Linked DNA regions of Styela clava. The main gene of each other region encodes a partner of the protein of the gene in region 3 in a complex. Links are inferred from orthologs where the notes say so. Each region holds a gene or a part of one and is shown on either strand. Other genes may lie near its edges.

What was found.
Region 1: trafficking protein particle complex subunit 9-like (region 3) and trafficking protein particle complex subunit 11-like share a complex: the UniProt entries of both Homo sapiens proteins name them as parts of the multisubunit TRAPP (transport protein particle) complex. The link is inferred for Styela clava from reciprocal best matches to the Homo sapiens genes TRAPPC9 and TRAPPC11.
Region 2: trafficking protein particle complex subunit 9-like (region 3) and trafficking protein particle complex subunit 12-like share a complex: the UniProt entries of both Homo sapiens proteins name them as parts of the multisubunit TRAPP (transport protein particle) complex. The link is inferred for Styela clava from reciprocal best matches to the Homo sapiens genes TRAPPC9 and TRAPPC12.

Annotation. Positions count from the first base shown.
Region 1 is NC_135253.1:11,401,371-11,409,107, reverse strand, and holds the start of trafficking protein particle complex subunit 11-like, read right to left. Parts: upstream 3,259-7,737; 5' UTR 3,134-3,258; coding exon 3,006-3,133; intron 2,723-3,005; coding exon 2,620-2,722; intron 2,317-2,619; coding exon 2,163-2,316; intron 1,729-2,162; coding exon 1,557-1,728; intron 1,283-1,556; coding exon 1,100-1,282; intron 494-1,099; coding exon 1-493. UniProt on the Homo sapiens protein: Involved in endoplasmic reticulum to Golgi apparatus trafficking at a very early stage.
Region 2 is NC_135264.1:11,781,247-11,789,026, forward strand, and holds the start of trafficking protein particle complex subunit 12-like, read left to right. Parts: upstream 1-4,522; 5' UTR 4,523-4,546; coding exon 4,547-5,441; intron 5,442-5,833; coding exon 5,834-6,007; intron 6,008-6,473; coding exon 6,474-6,589; intron 6,590-6,709; coding exon 6,710-6,823; intron 6,824-7,092; coding exon 7,093-7,222; intron 7,223-7,506; coding exon 7,507-7,628; intron 7,629-7,780. Other genes in the region: serine/threonine-protein kinase RIO1-like, read left to right, coding at 228-353, 748-924, 995-1,070, 1,422-1,660; serine/arginine-rich splicing factor 3-like, read left to right, coding at 2,938-3,492. UniProt on the Homo sapiens protein: Component of the TRAPP complex, which is involved in endoplasmic reticulum to Golgi apparatus trafficking at a very early stage.
Region 3 is NC_135261.1:13,762,886-13,770,733, forward strand, and holds the start of trafficking protein particle complex subunit 9-like, read right to left. Parts: upstream 3,184-7,848; 5' UTR 1,920-3,183; coding exon 1-1,919. UniProt on the Homo sapiens protein: Functions as an activator of NF-kappa-B through increased phosphorylation of the IKK complex. May function in neuronal cells differentiation. May play a role in vesicular transport from endoplasmic reticulum to Golgi.

The sequences.
Region 1 (7,737 bases), on a different chromosome or scaffold from region 3:
TTTATTTGCATCTGGGGGATCAATGCTTTGATGGCCTTGTCTCCAAGGTCGTTGTCCATAAAAATCCAGAGGTTGGCCACTAGTATCCAGTGGATCATTTGATGGATATTCTTGTTCTGTGGCTACAGAGCACAAGCCTTTTGCATGAGTGCGTCTTTCCTGAGCATAGTATGCAGCTTGCTGGTAATAAAAACCTGGATGTTGCGTTTGTATAGCGGCTAAACCAGCTTTGATTGCTTCATCAAATAAATCTCCAAATACAGTAAACTGTTTACTCATCCATGCGCTGTGCTCAAACATGAGCTCTTCATTGCCAGCCTTTGGTTTGAAGGAATCAACGTGTCGACGAAATTGAGATATAGCTTCAAGCGGCATATTGAGTCTCAGGAAGCACAATCGACATATCTTGTAGTTGACAAATCCTCCCATGACTTTGACTTCAAGATTATTTGTATCATGTGATCGCAACTCATGAATGTGGGTATAAGCTTGTCTAATAAAATAAGTGATAAAAAAATATTATCAAACCTCCTGGAATACAAGACAAGAGTTTCTAAAAGTGGTGGGAAAACGTCAGTCGTTGAACATTTAATAAATATCATTTCGCCGTAACTTCATTACTGTTAAAAAGCTTCCTGTAGCGCTAATACAGCATAATTATAGTCGAACCGATAAAACAAGCTGAACATACTGTCTTAACAAGCTTAAATAGTGCTGTTCTACAGCACTAACAAAAGTAAACCATGATACATGAGCTGTTGGTCAAGTGGTTTGGTTCAAATCCCAGGACCACCACCTGAACCAGGGTGTAATATATAGGGTAGGCAATGTCAACCAGAAAGATTCCGTTCTTTCTAAACTATAGTAGCTCCTCATGGAGCATGGCTGCTTGTGCAGAGGCATGTTCAGAGCAGAAAGATACATAAATTTGTCGCATAAAATAAAAAAATCCACAGCGTTTGACTTTAGGAAAGCGCCACCAAGATAAACAAATTCCACAAATATTGATATCGATTCAGATCTATCAAGTTTTTTACACTTGTTCACAAATTAGCTGGAAGAGTGGAGGTATTCATCTAAATTTTTTTTGAAATCTTACCTATAATGTTTAAGGGCATTTGCTGGATCTTGCATTAATTCGTTGAAGAATCCAATTTTAAACTGATGCCTCACAAATAAAAGTTGATGAGTTGTTTTGTTCAGGAATTCCTTGTGAGCTTTCACTCTTCTAGCTTCAGTGTGATAGTAACTGTTTGCCAACTCATAGAAAGCATTTTCAAGTCTAAAAACATTCATAAATATATAGTAATAAGGTTCGTATAATAATATTCATTATTATTGGATTTAATCAAGTTCGACAAAAATAATCCGGCAATTGCAACAAAGATTTCAGAAAAACGTTTATTTACTTACATAAGGTTACATTAATTCACATGAAATACAATAAAGAGTCTTTGAAAGGAGACCACGGATCATGACTGTACCAGAGATCTTATGACATTCTTATAACATCTGAGTAACCAATAACAATTCAAACAAAGCATGTTTTAAGGTACCTTATAATATATCCTAATAGATGATCAGTATGAGGAAGCACAAACAATGATTTGGCTGATAGATCACAAGCACTGCAAAGTGCGGCAGCTCGTTCTGCAGCAACCATATCTTCACCTGGGGGCAATGGAGTGCTCTTCTGTATAAGTACAACAGCAACCTTTGTTCCTCGTCCTGAAAATAACAGTACATGAGTGTAATCAGCATTTTTTTATATTACTTGTATAGCTTCAATTTCTAACATTCAAACAGACAGCAAAAAATTCTACACATATGAGTATTTTCTATGCTATTGAAAATCCTAAATTTGATTTCTTTGAAAAAATAGGTGCTACAAAAGCATAAGGTAAACCACACTGTAGCGTGAGAGATCCAAGAGGTCTGCTGCTGCAATTTTCATCCCTGACAAATATAACTTATTGCTATACATTTAATTTAGTGATTTATGGCATGAATATGCCCCTAACCCTGACATGATTAACCCCAGATCGCATCTAGGTAAGTGACATATGGTGTAGACCTCACAATATTGTAGCGCCCAAGAATGTTTAATTTTTTCAGCAGAAGACTGTCAAATACTTAGCATAGGAAAAAAAAAATTCACCAACCCTGCAAGCTTGTTCGTACAACTTCAACACGAGATGCACATTCCATTTGCTTCTCTCTCCATGCAGGTTCATCCCAATCCAATTCATAATAGATAACAACAACAGCAGGTACTTGATGCAAATGTTTATCCATCCATTTTGTTTTCAAAATTCCCTGAAATCAGTAAAGCAATTGAATATAAGTAAGTCTGATCTAGGCAAAAATGAATATGTTTTAGACCATGTATATTAATGCCTCGTCCCTAATAGCGTGTTAGCACAATTTAGATTGGGCTATTCTGAAAGTCAAGAATCGAGTAAGTAACTCATGGACAACAATAAGATTCAAAGCACTGCAGAATTGCATATTTATAGGTATACAGACAAGACAAAATAGTTAACTCAACCAAAACTTTTAATCCGATCAAAACAAAGTATGGTGTTAAGAAAAGCATATATGGAATCAAATTCTGCATACCTTAGGTATATACCACTCATAAGATGTTCTTTTATCTTTGGATCTTGGATAACAATGATCCCCAGGAAGACAACCAAAAGATATTGGAACTCTGTCAGCTCGTCTGTAATAAAATTTATTCTATAAAATTGAAGTTTTATTAGATCAAATCATTTTCAAATTGAACAGTTTCTTATGTAAACAGAAAGGCATACCTCGAAATCATGTGAAGAACATGATGACCATCAGGAAGAAAATAAGTAAAGTATAATGTAGGTTATATTGTGATAATCAATATATATAAGAAATTAATGGACTGAAAAACTTTAGAAAGAGTGCATGTTTCATAATACAGTAATATATCAATTTTTGTATGAAACTTCAAATGTCAAAGAGATAACTATTACCTGTTATTGCTGAAAGCATCCCATATAGACTTGTGAATAGCATTGTATTTTATATCCAATCCAGTAAGAACAACAAAAGACATTGGATCATAACATAATTCCTGAGGCAAATCCGTAGCAGAAGCCATGCCCGAGCCTATAGTGATGTGATGATGGGCGAAATCGCTGTCCAGTTTTTTTTAAAACGCTAGTCTATAGCTTATCCTGGTCTTACTATATTACTTACAGACTTACCAATTTATTGAAAATAGCATGGAAGGGGAAAAAATGAATAATTAAACTAATTAAGTAATTATACATTATTATGTTGAAAAAAATGATTCACTTATACAGTTATACAAACATACTGGTACATTTTTGTTCCATGCAATATAAAAATGCATAAATTCTCAAGATCAAATACGACTAAAATCCCAATGACAGAATGAACTACGACAAAAATGAAAGTACTGGAAACGATGCCTAGAAGCTGAAAAGAGTGCCTGAGATCATGAGTGCATGGTTTTAGGTAGAGTCTTTTTGGTACAGTACCACTTCTATTGCGCGTAGCAATTTTGACATATATCATTCCTGACTCACCCCTGACTATGCATCCAAAAATTAAGTCACTGCGACGTCGCAATCACGAAATACTGAAATAGTGTTTTCCGAAGTACAGCGACGAATCCGACGATCACCCGCAATGGCGCCTGCGAATTGCTTCGCGGAGCTCAAATAAATACGGAACTCAAGCGAGACACCAATTTTCCCCAACGAACATTCACGATTAAATCATCTGAGCAACTTCGTGATAATGCGTTCGTTATACGTTTTCACTCCAAGCAAGGCTTCAGACAAGCAGATATGGACATATTAATTTACGGTCACCCAATGGACGTAGCTGGGTACCACACACATAAAGACTTGTTGTTTTTGTCCGTTATGTCCGTTTCTGCTCGCCTAAAGCCTATTGGGAGTGAAAATGTATAACGACTTATGAATAAGTGTGACACAATACATGACTCATCGCTGGACATAAAATGACAAGTCTCTACGTGTGTGATACCCAAATACACCCATTGCGTGAAGGTGAAATGAATACTGTATGTCCTTTTCTATTTGTCTAAAAAGCCTTGCTCAGAGTGAATAGTGCAGAGTGCACACTAAATAATAGCTTAGCGAGTCGGGCTGTGGCCATCGGGCCGCCTGTTGCACACCCCTGGATTAAACTATGCAATATTCTACTTAAGCTTTACCTATGCAAATATATCTGTGCTTATGTTTTCACGGGTAGTCGCTTGCAAAATGGCTTAAATCAGTTTTTCCATGCCGTGCCTTGATTTAACTAAAACAGAGGTTCCAAACTATTTTGATGAATGCCTTCCTTTGCCTATTTTCGATCTCTTTATTCCTCCGTCGCTACGCATAAAAACTATTTTTTCGTTGTTTGTTCAATCTTTAATAAATTCTTAGCTAGTGATATGCACAACCGCTTTCGAACGGTTTGAATAGTTTCTAATATATCCCAGGGGTGGCCAATCTTATTTTGAGCGCGATCGACTAAAATACTCATTCCACATAAACGAATCAGTAATGAATAAGCAGATAACTGCACACACGCATACAAAAAATATACCGCTGCCAATAAGCTCGGCACTGTGGGCGTATTTTTAATGAAATCGTCACAAATATTTGTATTTTCTATGTTCCAAGTGTTGAAAATTACTTAAAACAACATTGCCAAGTAACAAGTATCCATATTATCGGAACAGCACTAAATAAATATTCTCAAACAATAAATGTTACATGACTGCTCAAACTTCAGTATCTAATTTACAATTTCCTCTAAGTCCGATTCTTCGCTTGCCTAAATTAGAAAAAAATTGGGCATTCTGATACCACTGCAACCGTTGCAAATACAATTTCTTAGACAAGACACACGCCATTCGTCAAGTTCATTTCTAAACCTTGGCAGCGGCGAAACTTCCATTTGTTACGTTTAATAATGTTATCTATCGAGCTTGCCCAGACTTGAATACTTAACTGAATGTATGTGAATATCGTACTTTGCGCATGTACATTACTGTATTCGCCCTGTTTCAAAACTAAGGCTATGTTAAATTCACACAACATCAGACGCGATCAATTATATTTATGAATTATATTCATAAATACGCATTACAAAAATACTAAAGCACCAGACGATATTTGTGAAACTACACAAAATGCCAAGTCAATTTTAGGTGGTGGTGGACATTTTGCTACGGAGCATGTCGTGCGGTTATCATTTTGCGCAAGGGTTGAAAAGATGATAGTTCAATTTCAATAATTTGAAAGTATTCGAACACGAACAAAATTACAATATTTTGCATAACTATGAGAAGAAAAGAGGTAAAATTGAAATTGAGCAGAGGTATGACCCTGATAGTGGGTTTTGGGTCAGTTTAGAATCAGCGAAAGTGTTTTTATAGAAATACTATTATTCTAGGTAGCCATTCCAATTACCTTAATTTGATAAAATAATGTCAAGCAATATCCCACACTGGAATATTAATTTATTTGGGGGTGAAACATTCATACTGGCAGACATATAAGACAATAACACGATTAAAACATATACCGTATTTCCCGGCGAATAAGTCGCTTTTCTAGACCCAAATTTTTGGCCTGATTTTTTTTTTTGGGGGGGGGATTTTCGTCTTATTAGGCGAAAAAGATCATTTTCAGTTTTTTGATGTCGCCTCATTATTAAATCTGGACAATAAATAACCTCGTCAGGTTAGTTTAAATAAATCGACAATCTCCTGCTGTGAATCTGAAATTTCAATGCTGTGATTATCATATTTAAAGTTGCCTCATTTGCGTGGCTATTACCGATATACGTGGGATTGCAATTTGTGAAAATTGTCAATTGTTTTTGTCATCGTGATGTCTTATTTGAGCCGTAAACCTTTTTCATTTCAGCATTTATTCTCTCTAAGTCAGAAATTTGCAGCGAGGACAACGATAATTACTTTATTGCTCCCAAGCAACCATGGCACTTGTGTTGTGAGATACGAGTTATCACATAATCATGTGTGACAACAGGCTAAGATAAATAAGTGTTTACATGACCCAAATTTTCTTGATTTAAAAGCGGCATTATATAATACTAAAAATAAAACAGAAACATCATGTGACAGATTAAAGATGATTTTTAGGCATTGCTAATCACGAAAAAAAATTTTGTTCCACAATCACCGACAGGGCCAGACGCTGCTATGTGTATAATACCATAATTACGGTAATGTAAAGAATATATATTTAATTCATTTTTTTGACATAAATATAACTCGGTGGGATATTATCGCTGACCTAAGGTTTTGTTCCTACCGTAAAACCCACAAAAACAACATATAATCCCAATTAAATCAATGAAACAACACATTTCGTTTTGTGGACATTTCGAGGTGATGAATATCGTCATGCTAATAACCGAATTGCGTAAGTCATTTTTGGCGGTTTTGAGTTTTCCATAAAATAGGTATTTATGTAATGCTGCGCATCTGTCTGTTAACCCAAATTTTATTCTAAGAATTCCGAAGCCCATGAAAATAGAGATTTTGTATAATATGCAAATTTGTTCAATTGTTTCGTCATAATGAATTATCATTGTTAACGCAGGAGTATTGTGACGTCACAACGGCAAAATAACCTCCTCGAAGGATTTTCGAGTTTTTGCATCTCAGATTCTAGCCTAGCGCTTTTAAATTTCAATTTATACTACAGTATAGGAAGGCGTGCACTTGTGATATTCACTTTTTGAGTCCAATTCATCTTGGTTGGTTTTTATATAAGGGTACATTGTTGTTTTATTCTTTATATTTAACTTTAGTCTTATTTCGGTGGATGTGCAGAGCGTGTTATATATATCGTGTCCAGTTATGAAGTATATATTTTTAAACATAAAAAATAATGTAATTGAAACAGATTAACTATTTTGGGGATCAGACATCGTAAATACTAAGAATTACATTCGTTTTTGGATTGTTTGGTTTTCAGGACTGGTACAAGAGTCAAGTTGCAAAATTGCGTATGTCCCCTAGTCATAGACACATTTCTGCCTAAGTCACAGTGCGCCATTATAACGTCACATGACTGCGTCATACAAATTAACTTAAAACCGGCTACGATCAAAAAATTGAACTATGGCAAATTATTGACTCTCAATGGCATAGCAATATCATTAGAAAGTTTTTAGGTTTTTCTCAAAACTGCTAAAAATGACTTGCGCAATTCGGTTATTAGCGTGACGATATGCATGTTTCATATAAACACTTTATATGTATATTTATTCATAAAAACTAAATATAATCAGGTAGTTTATCTCACATTATTGTGTCCGCAAATTGCCGTCTTATTTTAGATCAGTAATGTTCTTGTATGACGGACGCAATCGCGATTTGAACACAATTAGACTGAAATTGAAAGACAGTTTGAATTCCCGTAGTTGTTAAGGATTGAATATTACGCTACAAAAAAGTCATTATAGGCTATTTTAACCAATGCGAAAACGCGGCGACCGCTCAGAGGGCATTGCATGATTATTTAAGATTCCGATGTTGATGCGATTTTACTACCCCGACTTATTGGCCGGTTATATGCAAAAATCCATTTTTTCAGGCTTAAAAGCGGGCCTCGTCTTATTCGCCAGGTAAACTTATTCGCCGGAAAATACGGTATATATATAGGGAGCTGAGATGCGGTTATAGGG
Region 2 (7,780 bases), on a different chromosome or scaffold from region 3:
ATTTATACTGTACTATATAGGCCTATTATAGTTTTTTTTTCAGTTATGTTCCTTTCATACGAGAATATGATCTTGACAGTCTCATAATTCTATGTCATTTTGGAAATACACTGCCTAATAGTCAGTTTTTTAAATATAATGCACATATTTCATGACTCTGTTTCTGAAGAATGATCAGGATAACTATAGGTACGTATATTTTATCGATCATGATTTGAAATTTTCAGGATTGCAATAATGTGAATGAATTTTTCAAAAAGAAGGGAGTTGCCGTTATGAATTTGAGAGAACTCTTTGAATTTGTTACAGATGTTGATATAACAGAAGAAAATATCGATTCATATTTAGATAATGTAAGTAAAAAAACATTTTTTCTGTTTCCAATACATTGGCACTCAATTGTACTCAGAAAAGCAATGCGTGTAGGTTCGTCCCCAACTCAGATTTTGAAATTTTTTTGTGCAAATCATCAACTGATTCTAAGGATTTGAAAGTTCTCACAGTCACAACTAAGGGAAAATATCTGGCCCAGCATGATCGATGATTACTGTGAATCGGAACTCATTTTTCATGAATATTGCTAATTATGAGACGCAGATTTTGACAAGAGACAGATATTTGATAAACTCAAATATTTTGTAACTGTACGTGTATTTAAAGAAATAATTTATTATTTTTACCCTTAAATTCAAAAGCTGCTTTATATCAAAATATTCTCTTCTATTCAACTTTTCTTATAAATGTCAGGCTATGAAAATTACGTCGGATCGAGTATCTACACTCGAACAAAAAGACGAGGAAGAACAGAATGCTGATTTAGAGGAGCAAATATTCAAACAAGTTTTTATTCCGAGGACGCTGGATGAAGTTCTGAATTTTGAACGAGATGTCGATGCAGTTATGCATACTGGAGATGACTCACATGTACGTAAATATATTTTAAACTATTAGCTTGTGTCTATAGAGATTTCTAATATATTTTTCTTCTTCCCAGATATTGTACCGATCTGTGACAGGAATGAATGTAAAGTTATCTAAAAATAAAACTACAGAATCTGATGAAGATGAGGGTATATATCCTAGTGATTTTTTTTTACTAATTTGAGTTTATTTTTAAAAAAAATTGACTACTATGACAACTTGAAGGACAACATATAAAAATAGGTGGTTTTCTGTGCAATATACGAAACATTTCAAAATTTAAAATCTCTTTCGATTTATAATTATTGCAGTTAACAAAGTACGACGACAGGCCATCCACGTCGTTGAATATCAATCTATCCTTCATGAGATTAAGGTTACGGCCAAAAAATTTTGCTTGATATTCTCAATGGGCCAAGTTTTATAGCCATCTTAGTCTACTCAAAAATCTAGGCTATTGTGGTCTTTGGTTTAAATGCTATCAGTATATTTATATGCAGATGACAACTCTGAAGACAGCGACAATGATAGTTTGAAGTCTGCTGAAGATGAGAATGAAAGTGAAATTTCCACCTCATCCTCTTGTACAGTTTGCGTTAGAAATATGACAAAAGAAGAAAAAAGATTACATAAACAAAAAGTCAAAGAAGAAAATAGAGAAAAAAGAAATAACAAAGTTCCGAAACACATAAAAAAGAGAAAAGAAAAATTAGCTAAACTTAGGAAACCAAAAACATAATTTGAAGGTGCATTGATGGATTTGTTTTGTGTTCGTTCGGGATGGTTGAAGCCAGGTATATTGCAGTATTGTGCTGCTTAGGCAGGGATTGCATTCTGTCATATACTTAAAAACAAAGCAATGGCCAGAAATACTTCCCTATACGGTCTAATATGTTCATGACATAGTTTAATCCGGAGCGTATATGCTAAACAGGCGACGGCACAAATCGCAGGTAAAAAGGTAAATTTGAGAGGAATGAGGTCGCTGTAAATGTAGGGAAAATACACATCACATTAGGAAAAGATTGTGAGGCGAACTGATCCTAGGGTAAAGGGTGCATTGAATGACCAGACCAGAAATTCCGCAGTACAAGCCTCGGCGTGACAAACGCCGGAGCCCAAGCGCGAAACGGCCGAGAATGCGTGCAAAATCTAAATTTAAGCGTGTAAAAAATAGGACGAACAAATAGATACATTAGTATTGAAGGGGAGCGTCCCAATTCGTTGCAACACTGGCGCTTTGATTGACGCAGAGCATTGGGTCCCAATTTGGCGAAAGGACGGCGACATTGGGTAGTTGAGTTATTGCCCAAAATAACGTGATGGAGGCCTCTTGCGTTTACCTTTCATCCGTCCGCTCAATATATATATTGAAACGAAATATATTACAGTAGTTAACATCCTTATACGGCCAGTGCCTTTATTGGGACAATTGAAAATCCAAGTCAGAGACTTATCCAGTTTACAATTCTGCTATTGTAGTCTGATCGGTCTGATGTAAATGACTGTTCACAGGATTGATGCCTCGCCCCATGATGGCGCCATTTATGACGAAAGTTTCGCCGCATCAGCGTTGAAAAATATATTACGTTATATGAATGTGAGTTTCAAAATCTGGATTACAAAAAGTATCACGTTCAGACGTTTGAAGTAATGCGCGTTTAGTATTGCCTGGGAACAGTCAGTTTGTTATGTTAGAATTTTCAGCACTTTTTTCTCGGACCGGACGAGAGGCCGCCGTGGTTTGCCATCTATTTTATACCGTATTGTGTATACATAATATATTCCCTTTTATTTTAAAAAAGCTTTCATTTTTCTAAAGACGATCTGTATTACTGCAGTACTGTGATACCAGCCAAAGCTGAAAAATATTCCTTTGTGCCTTTTAAGCATAGCTTAAAAGTTGTTCGTTCTTCTGAGTATTATTCATGCAGAACTTTACATTATCAGTTATATGACCAATTAGTATTTGTAAGTTACTAATTTAACTAGTTCAACTTTATTAAAGTCTTTATTATGTCATATAAGGACAGAAGACCGAGTGCTCCACTCGATTGCAAAGTGTACGTTGGAAATCTTGGAGATGGAGCTTCACGAAGTGAATTGGAAATTGAATTCGGACATTTTGGAAGATTAGTAAGTGTATGGGTTGCCAGAAAACCACCAGGCTTCGCGTACGTTGAATTTGAAGACCCAAGAGATGCTAAAGACGCTGTCAGAAGTTTAGATGGAACAACGCTTTGTGGACGTCGAGCGAAAGTTGAACTTTCACATGGGCAAAAAAGAAATAGAAATTTTCGACCCAGTTACAGTGATCGACCACCGAGACGTGACATGTCAGAAGTCCGATGCTATACATGTAATCAAACTGGACATATCGCTAGGAACTGTCGGGAAGGTGGCAAATCACGTTCTCGATCTCCAAGAAGAAGATACTCCCGCTCCAGGTCTCATTCTCCGTCTCGTTCCCGAAGTCCGTCTCCGAAATATTCACGTTCTCGATCTCGAAGCAGAACGCCTGAAGATAAACGCCAGAGTCGTTCTCGTTCACGCAGCAGATCTCGAAGCTGAATATTTAAACAAAAAAACACAAATGACGCCATTAATTCGAAGAAGGAACCAAACAACGTCAAATATAAATCGCAGAGTTTAACTTTGCGAAGTTTGCAGATGTTGGATAGCTCAATATGGATTGGAGATTGTTATGACTTATTGGACTGTATATATACTGTCTTTTTGTTAATGATTTGCTATGTACAAATATTTTCGTACTTGAATTATTGTGGAATTTGACGGCCAATATTAAGTATCTAATTCTTGGTTTCAAAGGTTTTTTTTCGTACTGCGCCATAATTTTAGAGATGTATCTAACCCAACGACTGTAGCTTTAATGTTTGAGCGAGATCACAATCATTCATCGATGAAATGCTGTATGAAAATTTAAGGAAAGACTTAATTGTATATTTCTAAGTATACCGTGCCACAATTATCTTGAAGAGTTCAGCAATTTAATTTCTTTTGCGTCATTTTGAATTTAGAAAATTCAATGCAGAATTTGCTGTCAACCATTCGAATTAGTGAATGGCTACTATTCGTCTCTTTCTCTCTTTCATTTGGCATAGCTTGTTGTCCAATATGTTACTGTCATTGGCTTGTTTTTAAAATAGGATAACATGAAAAATTACAAAACTAAAATGGATGAGGTCACTTTTCATAGGGTATGCGCTATGATAATTGTCATCAGGGATGTCCAAATTTGGATTTGACTGGTTATCTATCAAAACAATGCTTATCTTACAGTCTTATCTATTCTACATTACCAAATTTAGTTTCTATCAATTTACAGTGCTTTTTATCAATTTTTTTGCAGTACGTTTTCCAGCTCATTATATATCAATAGCCTACTCGAAAATATAAATGTAGAATGTATTTGAAACATTGAACTATTCAATTTTGGACATGCTAGCTTATTATTTCTATAAATACACTTTCTGGATTCCCATTGCGTAATGTCCGATAAGCTTTGAATACATCTGATAACTGACTTTTCATGTAATATTAACACTGACTTCTTACTGCCGTGATTTTAGAAGATATATAAATTGTCTAGATATAGTTGTGAGGTATGGCTGATGGAGGTGGCGACGTCCAAAACAACCAATTACCGAATGAACCCATCCCGGTTTGTACCCTTTTCAGTGATGGGTCAATCGACACAACATTATCTCAGAAAGAATTGAAAAAAGATTTTTCTGGCGTGTCCAATTCACAAAACGTGGTTCAAGTTAAAGAAAATGAATCAAAAGAGCCTGAGTTGTGTGATGTGTTTGGAAGTGGCAATTCGATTCCTACATCATCTGGTGATGATATATTTTCGAAAATTTCAGAAGACGCAAAAGCGGATGAAGCCGCTCACGATCATTCATTTACATCTGAGAGCATAGATGATAGCAGTATTTCAACCCCAATGACAGAATCCATAAAATTAACCCCTTCAATGGAAACGCTGCGATTGAATCGCTCAGTCGATTCATTCATTGTCGAAGAATTAATAGAATCTGATGAAATTCCTGAAAACCCAGGTAAAATGGCTCAGGATGTATTATTAAATGAATCACAGCCAGTGCCTTCGGCAGGAATACCATCGTTTTCAATATCGCCAGATGATATGGTGAACACAGAATCTGCTATCTCTGATTTACCAAACGATATTGAAGTGGATGATATCATTGAAGACGCTTCAACGGAAATTGAGAAACTATCATTAGAAGATCCAAATGTAAAACAACTTTCAGAAAATGAAAACACCTCGATACAAGAATCTAAAATGACTTATGAAGAATCGAAAACTACCGAAATCAACGAGACTGAAGAAGTATCTACGCAACAAACGGCTACTGAAACCGAAATTCAACCTGAAATTCCAACTACTGGTTTATTATTCACCTCTGTTCAAGATAAGCAACAAACTTTGTTTCCAAGTCCAGTGTCTGAACGACATGGTATAGAAATAGAGGAAGGTAAGTAAAGGGTTAATATCTGCTTGTATTTGCATTCTTATTATATGTTAATAAAGTACTTTTCAGCTTTTGGGCTCAGATCTAAATAATTTACTCAATCTGAAGTGACCGCTGATAATTAATATATTTTGCAATAGCTGGCAAAATGTTTTTACCATTTGCTAGTGGTTTTTCTCCTTGATGAGAATAAGATATTTGTTCAAAAACTTCTCTTAAAATCTTATTTTCAAATGGTATGCCAAGTGCTTTAATAAATTCTACGTTTTATTCTAATTGTAAATATCAATTATGAACTAACATTGCTTACATATGCAAAAGTTTGTCTTATATTTGATCGTCTGTATCAAAAATTATGTTGTAACAATTGCGTATACTTTCCCAATTTTCCACAGATGACCCGTTTGCTGCCGCTTTGAGTAACAGTGTTCTTGATCGAAGACGTGATGCCTGGCTACCTTGTGAAGACACTAGAGCCATATTGACCGCTGCAATTGTGAACCATAAATCTCCTGATTTAGAAATGGAGAAGATTACTAGACCAGGATTATCTACCAGTGAATTGTTAGGTTTGTATTATTGGTATGATTTGGAGTTTTTCATTGAGGTTTGAATTTCTAAAATGATTTTCCGTCCCTTGAAAATGATAAATTGGAACTTTTTCGGCATTTGGCTTTTCTCTTAATTTGCCCTAACCCTGTGGGTTTGCAGGTTCGTATCATGTGGAGGATAGTCATATACTATCGATTTGCTGGACGTCATTGCTGTCAAAAGGTGGTTCACATAATAACCATTGGTCAGTTACAGCTTCATGCATGTGAAACAACTGATCAACATTTCGCATACCAAGATTGGTAACTGAATGAGGGGCCCATGATTCATAACATGAATACACCTTACTGTTGGCTTTTCCAGAATAAATATAAATATGAAAAATTTTAAATTACCGTAGATTGGTATTCTTGTTTTGTGCCTATTTTCTAACCTCACAAAAATTTTTGTGTGATATAAAATAACAGTTCCCTTTTTCTGTAGAGGATCCAGTCAAAGAGCTTGTCGTAAGAATGACGGGGTCAGAGAATGTTGTGAAACGTGGCAATCTGACAATGGACGATGTCACTCTCAATAAAGATGGAATCAAAAAACTGATGGTACATTTTCAATCATAGCACAAGAATGGAATTTTATGATTTTAACCAAATTTTTAATTTGATACATTTCAAAATCAGGCGCAGAATATAATGAAGTCAGTTTTTTTTTTCATTTTACAGGAATCTGGCAATCTACGATCTGCTGCAAACCTGTGTGCTAAACTATTAACAACTCATGGTCAAGGATTTGGTCAAGTTACACGAATGACACTCAATACATCAGAAACATTACAGGTTTGATTTTACTTAGTTGCAGCCTGTTGGTAGAAAATTAATAAGTCAATAAGCTGTCAATGATACTGATTTTTATTGTGGGCATGATATGGTATAAAGTAGAGCTAATGAAAGCAATACTCAAATGGAAAGCTAAAAATATTATACCGAATAATAAAAACGGAGTGAGTATTCATGCAAGTCAAAACTATTGGCAAATTTAATATTGCATTATTTCTTTACTAGCTAATTTTGAATATGTTTATTAATTTGTGTTGTTTTGTTTGTAGTTGTGGTACACTCGCATATATATCCTCACAAAATTAAAACTATATGACATGGCTACAAGTGAAATTTCTACTTTCAAAAATCTCGACAATGCAGACTTGTACTATGAATTTTATCCTGATGTCTATCCAGGTGAGAATTATTTTTATTCATATATGATCATTTAATTATGCCTTTAACTTAACGTAGTGCTCAAGATGGAGGGTAGTGCCCAAAAAAAACAGGGCATCGCATCCTTCAAAGTGTTAGTAGTCAACATACTGATTACCCTGCATTGGTTTGACTTCTATGTGGTTGATTATATTATTATGAACAAATTAGCTCTTCTCGTGCCTAGGCTATTGGAGTGGCTGTGGTCTTCTGCAGTATTCTTCTAGCTTATACTGATTTCCATAAAATTTTCTTTCCATTTTTAGGTCGTCGAGGATCCATGGTTCCATTTTCATTTCGACTTCTCCATGCTGAGTTCCCACGTCATGTCGACAGAGCTCAATTATCATTGGCTCGTCTGCACAGAATATTAAATGTTTGTGATAAGGTAAGAAGTTTATTTGATAAACAGAAATGTATTTTTACAAAATTTTGCACAAAAATATGTGATATAATGACAAACTTCAATATGTCAAAAAATAATCTTTTAATGCATTCGAATCTGAGAATCTCCCACTGTTTAAACATTAGCACCAGAAA
Region 3 (7,848 bases):
TTGTTGAAGTAACATTTTGCATAAACTCCATACATTGAAAATGCATATCCAATAATAGTGACTGTACCTAATTCTACTGGAGTTACTTTAATCCCGACTTCAAAGGATGATTGCGGCGCAATGTTAAAAGTCTGTGGTTGACAATCTATAGCTGAACTGTTTGAATCAAGAATCAGCGAAAATTCTGATATCTTGATACTGCAATGAGAAAGTGGATTAAATACATGTACTATAATCTCGAACATTGTGTTTACACACCATCTAAAACAAATTTTTTTAAGCTCGTGTGTTTGTGACTGTCTAATCGTTGGTGTGTAAATAAAAACACTTTGAGCATCAGATTCAGTTTTAGACTTTGTTGGTCTCATTCCATCATCTTCAAATAAAGGAGAAATCTTAGTTATGACTGGTAAAACATAGAAGTTGAGTTCAGGTGATGTGCTATCGAGTACACTAATATTTTTCTTGACATAATTTTCCAATGCAGAGCAAGTTGCCTTTTCATCAGTTTCAGACAAATAAGGAAACATATTCAAAATCAAATAAAGCAAATAACGAAGTGCAAGACTATGATTATTAATTTTTTCCAAAGAATATACAAGTTCATGTAATATTCTAAGACTAATACTTGGCCATCCATGTCTGTTTTTAAGGTATGGGGAGATGATAGAGTGTTTAGTCGGACATGATATTGTGTTCAATAAAAGTCTGTTGCAAAGTTTCCAATCAGGTTCTTTGATATGATGTGCTACACATTGCATCGCAGCCACTCGTTTGTAAAATGCAGATTTTCTGTAAAATCCTATACTTTTATATAAATCAGCCATCACACTGTATCGTTGTAATCTTTCGGTATCTGAAACATTGAGTGTGATGTAAACAGCATTTTGAATGAATTCTGAAGCTTCTAAAAAGCTTTTAGCCTCAGCAAATACTTTTGTTGCTTTGATACAAGCTTCCATTTCAATAACAGCCAAGTTTTTATATCTGCTATAATGAATAATAGCTTCTCTGTATCGATCCACTAAATCTTTCATTGACGAAATACAAAGCTTTTTAACATCAGGTGCTGCAAAAGACGATATTGGCTTTTTAGAAAGATTTCGGGGGTCAAGGGTGAAATTCACAGAAGATTTCTCAGTTTTCAGACTAGCAAAATGCACCAGGGCTGAAACCACACACAAACCTTCCAAAGCACTTCCTACCCAAACTGTATCATTAATTGGAATCAATATGTCAAGTGCACTGTGATAACATTGTAATGCTTCAGATATTTGTCCCACCAGCAAGTTAACGTCAGCAAGATGCTTATAGTGACGACCAGAACATTTTTTGCGCATCACTTTACTGTCAGACTCATTTTTTTCATCTGGATTTTCAAACGGAGTGGCTATAAGCATTGGTTTTCCACTTCTTTCTTGAGCCATTCGCAAACGTTTTGATTCCAGCTCATAAAAAATTGCTGTGACAAACTGTTTGATATCATAATCCACAGATTTCCATGCATTGTGAGATGAAAATTGAAAAACATCTTGACTGTGGGGACGAATGGTTGTGTCTATTCCAAAGATAATACACCTAGAATGCAATAATCCTGGACTGTACTCCTCTTTCAGTTTATTAAATTTATCCAGGATTAAAGCTGCTTCCATTGGATTAATAGCTTCTCCAATAAATACAATTCCACACACTTGTCTATGTGCCTGTAATGGACCCCAATGGCTATTTTGTGGGGATGCATTATCATCAAATCGAATGTTAATTGTGTACCCAGCATCATTTATCACAAGAGATTTGTAAAGTTCCAATTTCTTCAAGACAAACTGTACTGATGCTGTGTTTATGTTTGCAGCATATTTGACACCAATGAGGATTTGCGAATGATCCAGTGCAGATGTCATATAATTAGCAACGCTCATCTTCTTGTTTTGTAGTAATAAATTATACAGAATATATTCAGTACTTCATATCATTCTGTCATTGAAAAATGAAATTACAAAGTCGCTGCAATACAGCAATATTTCGACCTATGACACTTGTACACAGTTTCAAAAAACACCGGTACCGTACGGTATGTCTGTATGTATATATTAGTCAAAAAAAATGCAGTTCTCATATTCATTATATAAAGTCAGACAGTACGATATATAAATACACTGGTACTAAAGTAGGCTAAACGCCGTAACTGCTTATGACAGTAGGATAAGATTTACATATTTAAATATCGCCTTACAAAAATGTAATATGAAATGAACGCTGTAACAGTGTAACTGCTCAAATTACACCCCCAAAAAATGTGACAATGAAATGTAATGTTCTCTTGCTACAGCATCCTTGCGTAATACGCATACGGATCCACCTGCGCAAAGGCATAAGGAGCAAGGAAAGGTAGTTAGTTTAACGCAACCTCAACTGTTAGTTACAAAAAAATGTGATTCAAGATTTTAATGTAAAAGGTCGAAATTACACCCGTATTGTCTTAAAGTGTCGCCGTCGAAAATGCAAAAAGATGGACGACTCATCTGTTGTCTTGTGAGTTGAGTTGTCCGCCTCCCTTTGTCCCATGCCATGCGGTAAGCATACGGTATTCGTGCAAGCCAGACTTTTATTTTTAGAAAAAAATGAAAATTTGGGTTGTATTTTCAAATCACATTTTTGTTTGACGTTATTGAAGCACTTAGATAAGATTTACATATTTATCCCGGGGGAGAGGAAAGCCGATAAGACGGCTTATCCATATGGCGAACCACAGCCTCTCGTCCGGTTACCATTCCAAGTCGGGTATGGGATTAGTTATATTGTTTGTTTTCGGAAGCATGGACTTGGTGGTGGAGGAAGCCGTAACCGAACCAGCGGTTACGTGAACCACCCAACGACGGCGAGGAGTCCAGCAATCCTCTCGCACATAACCATCCCTGAATGGGATTCGAACCTGCGAATCCACGCAGAGTAAGTAAAGGTGCGGTGGCGAGCGTATTTCTAACGCTTAGCCCGTTGAGCCACACCGCCGCGCCTTACAGCAGTCATTTTCCCACCACATTTGTGTTTGGGGGTATTTAAGCAGTTACGGTGTTTCCTTCACAAGACAAAAAGTGTCATGCTACGCCCACTAGAAGTATGTTAGGTACGAAACTACATGAGACCCAAAGCTGCAAAGGCAATACCGGTACTGGTACCGGTACCGGTATAAATTAAAGCCGTAAGTTACATTATATTCGCTATTCGGCGTTGTGCAACCATTTTTGCATATGTTATTCCTAACCCCCACTTGACCTATGGCATTCAGAAATTACGCCACTACGACACCACAGCACAGCAGTAACGTAAAAATGTCTCCAAACTATACCGGTACCGGTACTAACTCCAGAACTCTGCAACTGCTGAACTTTGCTATTTCTTGGTCGGAGGTGAGTCCAACTCGGATACAATCGGTAATGACGTCACATTGGTCGGAGTCGGAGTCCAACTCGGATCCACTCGGTGATGACGTCACGAACATTGATTTTTTTTTGCAAGATTTCGGTAACCGGGATTATATTAGTTTATTTTTGGACACGAAATGTACATATGCTTTTGTTTTTTCAATTATGTTCTTGTTAATATCTTCAACTACAGGCCAATTGATAATTGGAAAGTTTATGCTGTCGTTAGAAGGCTATTAATTTTATTTCCTCATCAGGCGCGGCGGTGTGGCTCAACGGGCTAAGCGTTAGGAATACGCTCGCCACCGCACCTCTAATTACTCTGCGTGGGTTCGCAGGTTTGAATCCCATGCAGGGATGGTTAGATGCGAGAGGATGGACTCCTCGCCGTCATTGGGTGGTTCACGTAACCGCTGGTCGGTTACGGCTTCCTCCACCATCAATTCCATGCTTCCGAAAACAAACAATACAGTAAAACTAATCCCATACCCGACTTGGAATGGTAACCGGACGAGAGGCCGTGGTTCGCCATAGGGATAAGTCGTCTTATCGGCTTTCCTCTCCCCCGGGATAAATATGTATATCCTATCTTATCCTTATCACTGAATACTTCAGTTACGTCAACCTAGAGCAGGTTTTCCCAAACTGGGGTCCGCGACGACTACATAGGGGGTCCGCAGTGATATTGAGCGACTGAAAAATGTACATTTAACATATAGAGGACTTGCACGGGTCACGTGACTTTGTTACTGAACGGCAATAAAACAAACACGTCCATTTGGCTCCTGTCAGTTGCAAGTCGGATTATACGTTTCCGTTTTGTTTGGCTGTTGAAAATGGTTATTTCGTATTGTTCCGTTAGCTGTACGTATAGTATAGACAACGAAATGGATCTTCATTTATATTCCACTGATTTCAAAAGATCCGGAACGTCGCGCAATGTGGATATCATCTATTGCCTATTGGCAGAACTGCTTGGTGTCAAGTCCAGAAGCCATATTACTTGTGTTTCACTGTTTGCGGACAGCACTTCGTTGATGGTGAGTGATAATGTGGTGATAGTGTGCCGTTATCAATTTTTTCAAATATTCACAAGCTCCCTCATTTCAATGGAAAGCAGATGACAAACTACTGTTATTAGTAGGCTTAGGCGTGGGCCTACTTGCAGTTGCAGACTTGACTTGTGTGAGACAGTAAGGAATTAATAATCAATTGCTATAAGGTATTGTTTCCCTAACTAGCAGGTAATCTATTACTAAGTGTGAAAGGTTGAATAGATAACTAAAGTTTAACACCAGTGGTCATGCAAAAAATAACCAGAATTCAATTGATTCGCCATCTAGGAATACGCTCGCCACCGCCTCTCTGATCACCCTGGTAGTTTCACAGGTTTCAATCCCACGCGCGGATAGTTATGTGCGAGAGGATTGCAGCTCTACTCCCACCGAGGGTGGTTCACATGACCGCTGATCGGTTACGACCATTCCCCACCATCCAAGTCCATGCTTCTGAAAACAAATAACTGGCTCCTCCCCAGATAAATCCTATCCTAATGGTGCTTGTACAACTGATCCAAAATGTCTTTTTATTGTCATTGGTAAAAAAGATATGCTACCCGGAATCAAATTCATTTACGACTAGTGGCTGTGGTGGGATATGGACTTAAATTTCACACTCCTTGATCGTTAGATTTTATGAAAACTCTATCTGTATCCATTATCTTACAGATATGGGTGCGACAATGGAATAGATGGATGGCAAAGTATAAGTTGCAACAAGACCACAGTGGCACAAGACCTCAGCTTGCGTGACTTGATAATACATCCTCAGTATCCATTTATTGATGCTTATCGTAATGACAAAGTAACTTGTGATTACTGTGGATTGGTGGAGATAAAGTGTCCATTGTGCTTTAACGAAAGCAACTTCAAGACGACCCTATCAAGAAAAAAAAAATGTTTCGGTGGGTCTGGTAGTGAAGGTTTTAGTCTAACGTTGGACACCGATACTACAACAAGATACAGTTGCCAATGAAACTTACCGAGGCGTAATATTGCGACTTTGTGATCTGGAAGGAAATTCTGATGGGTAGCCGGCTAGCCGCAACCTTTTGTTCAAAGAATATTATGAGATATGACTTAAGAGTCTAAACTTTTATTTGAAAGGGGTGTAATCCAAGCTAATTTGCAAATGGTATTCATGGTACCAAATGTATCACACACTTTACAGTAATTATAAATTATATTTGAAAAATAAAGCACATCAAAAATGTATTTTTAAAAAAAATTGGTTTTATCTGCAGATACTAGGTTGATATTGAGATTGACCATTTCAATGCTAAATTTTCTTTAGTCAAAAGGCACAATTGATTCGCAAAGATTTGTGAATGCGCACAGTACACCAATTTGTCTAATGTTTTGATTCCATAGGCAGGAGGTTGTGGATCGGTGCTGCTCAGGATGGGATATTTTTGCCTCTAAATGCATATTACGTGTTTCACATGAATCCATCGTGCTCAGATTCGACTGTTTTCAAGGTCTGAAGGCTCCAACAGCCTTATTATTTTATGGCTACACAAGAGAATTTTCAGTGTGGCATGCATGGGTCAGTTGGAGTCACTAACCTCAAGATATCTATAAGCAAGGATAAGATAACCTGGAAGTAACATTCCATAATTTAGAGTAAAAAATGTATCTGCCTCCACAGCCCTTTCAAATGGAAGATATGATGCCTCGGGGGTAATTTCTATCAAATATTTTACAGTATTATGGTTCTAGTGAAAAGGGGTGTAGGCGGCTTTTTTTAAAGTGTGGTAGGTCTAGTCGAAAGACACATTAAATGTTTATGCTAACAACTGCAAATTAATATTGCAACACATACAATTTAACAGAATTTATTGAAATGGTCCTGCCTTTTTCCTTTCTTCAAAATCCCCCTTTTTCTAACTATTCTCTTCCTCTCTGGGGCTGGCGAAAATTCAAATATCGATGGGACATATAAGCAGCTGATAATGGGTTATCTTCCCTTTTTCCTGAAAATAAATTAAACACTAATCATCATTTGACAGTGCCAAGTTTGTGTATCAGATCAGTAATAAATTACCTGCGAACTAACAAAACAATCAGACAACACCTTCTGACCATTAATGAAGATTTCTTTCAATTTAAAACGCAACTATGCCTACCAATGTGGGTAGTTTTTAGGATAGAATTTATCTGTGGTTGGGGACAGATTGCAAGGTGCAACATCGTACGATTACCATTCTATGTCGGGATTAGTTAGCCAGTTATTTGATTTAGAAGCATGGACTTGATGGTGGGGGATGTCGTAATCGACCAGCGGTCGTGTAAACCACCCTCAGTGGGAGGAGAGCTGCAATCCCCTCACACATAACTATCCCCGCATGGGATTGGAACCTGTGAAACTCCCAGGGGGATCAGAGATGCGGTGGCGAGCGTATTCTTAGATGGAGAATTCAATTGAATTCTGGTTATTTTTTGCATTAGCACTGGCGTTAAACTTTAGTTATCTATTCAACTTTTCACTCTTACTAATAGATTACCTGCTAACTAGGGAAACAATACCTTATGGCAATTATTGATTAATATCTTACACGAGTCAAGTCTGCAACTCTGCAAGTAGGCCTACGCCTACCAATAACAGTAGTTTGTCATCTGCTTTCCATTGAAATGAGGGAGCTTATGAATATTCAAAAAAATTGCTAACGGCACATTATGACTTACCATCAACGAAGTGTTGTCCGCAAACAGTGAAACACAAGTGAGATGGCTTCTGGACTTGACACCAAGCAGTCCTGCCAATAGATGATATCCACATTGCGCGACGTTCCGGATCTTTTGAAAACAGTGGAATATAACTGAAGATCCATTTCGTTGTCTATACTATACGTACAGCCAGCGGAACAATACGAAATAACCATTTTCAACAGCCAAACAAAACGGAAACGTATAACCCGACTTGCAACTGACAGGAGCCAAATGGACGTTTTTGTTTTATTGCCGTCCAGTAAACAAGGTCACGTGACCCGTGCAAGTCCTCTATATCCACTGTTACTTACGTCACTCCGTGACGACTACACAGGGGTCCGCAGGGATATTGAGAGTCTGAAAAATAGTATAAGTATTGAGAAATTTTGAGAAAAGACGGGAAGAAGGTAAAAATCACAGAAAAACAGGAAATATGTATTCAGGGGACCACGGGAAACTTCAATAAAAAGCAGGAAGCTTTAAAGCGTGAAATACGGGATATTTCACTAAAACGCGGGACATAGGCTAGCGAAAAGTTTACTAATGAACTGAAACTACAGAAAATTTCCCTAAAAAAACGGTCATAACGTGGAATTTGCAGAAATATTTATCTAGGTATTTTGTAGGGAGAAATTGAATGAAACGCAGAATTATTAGGA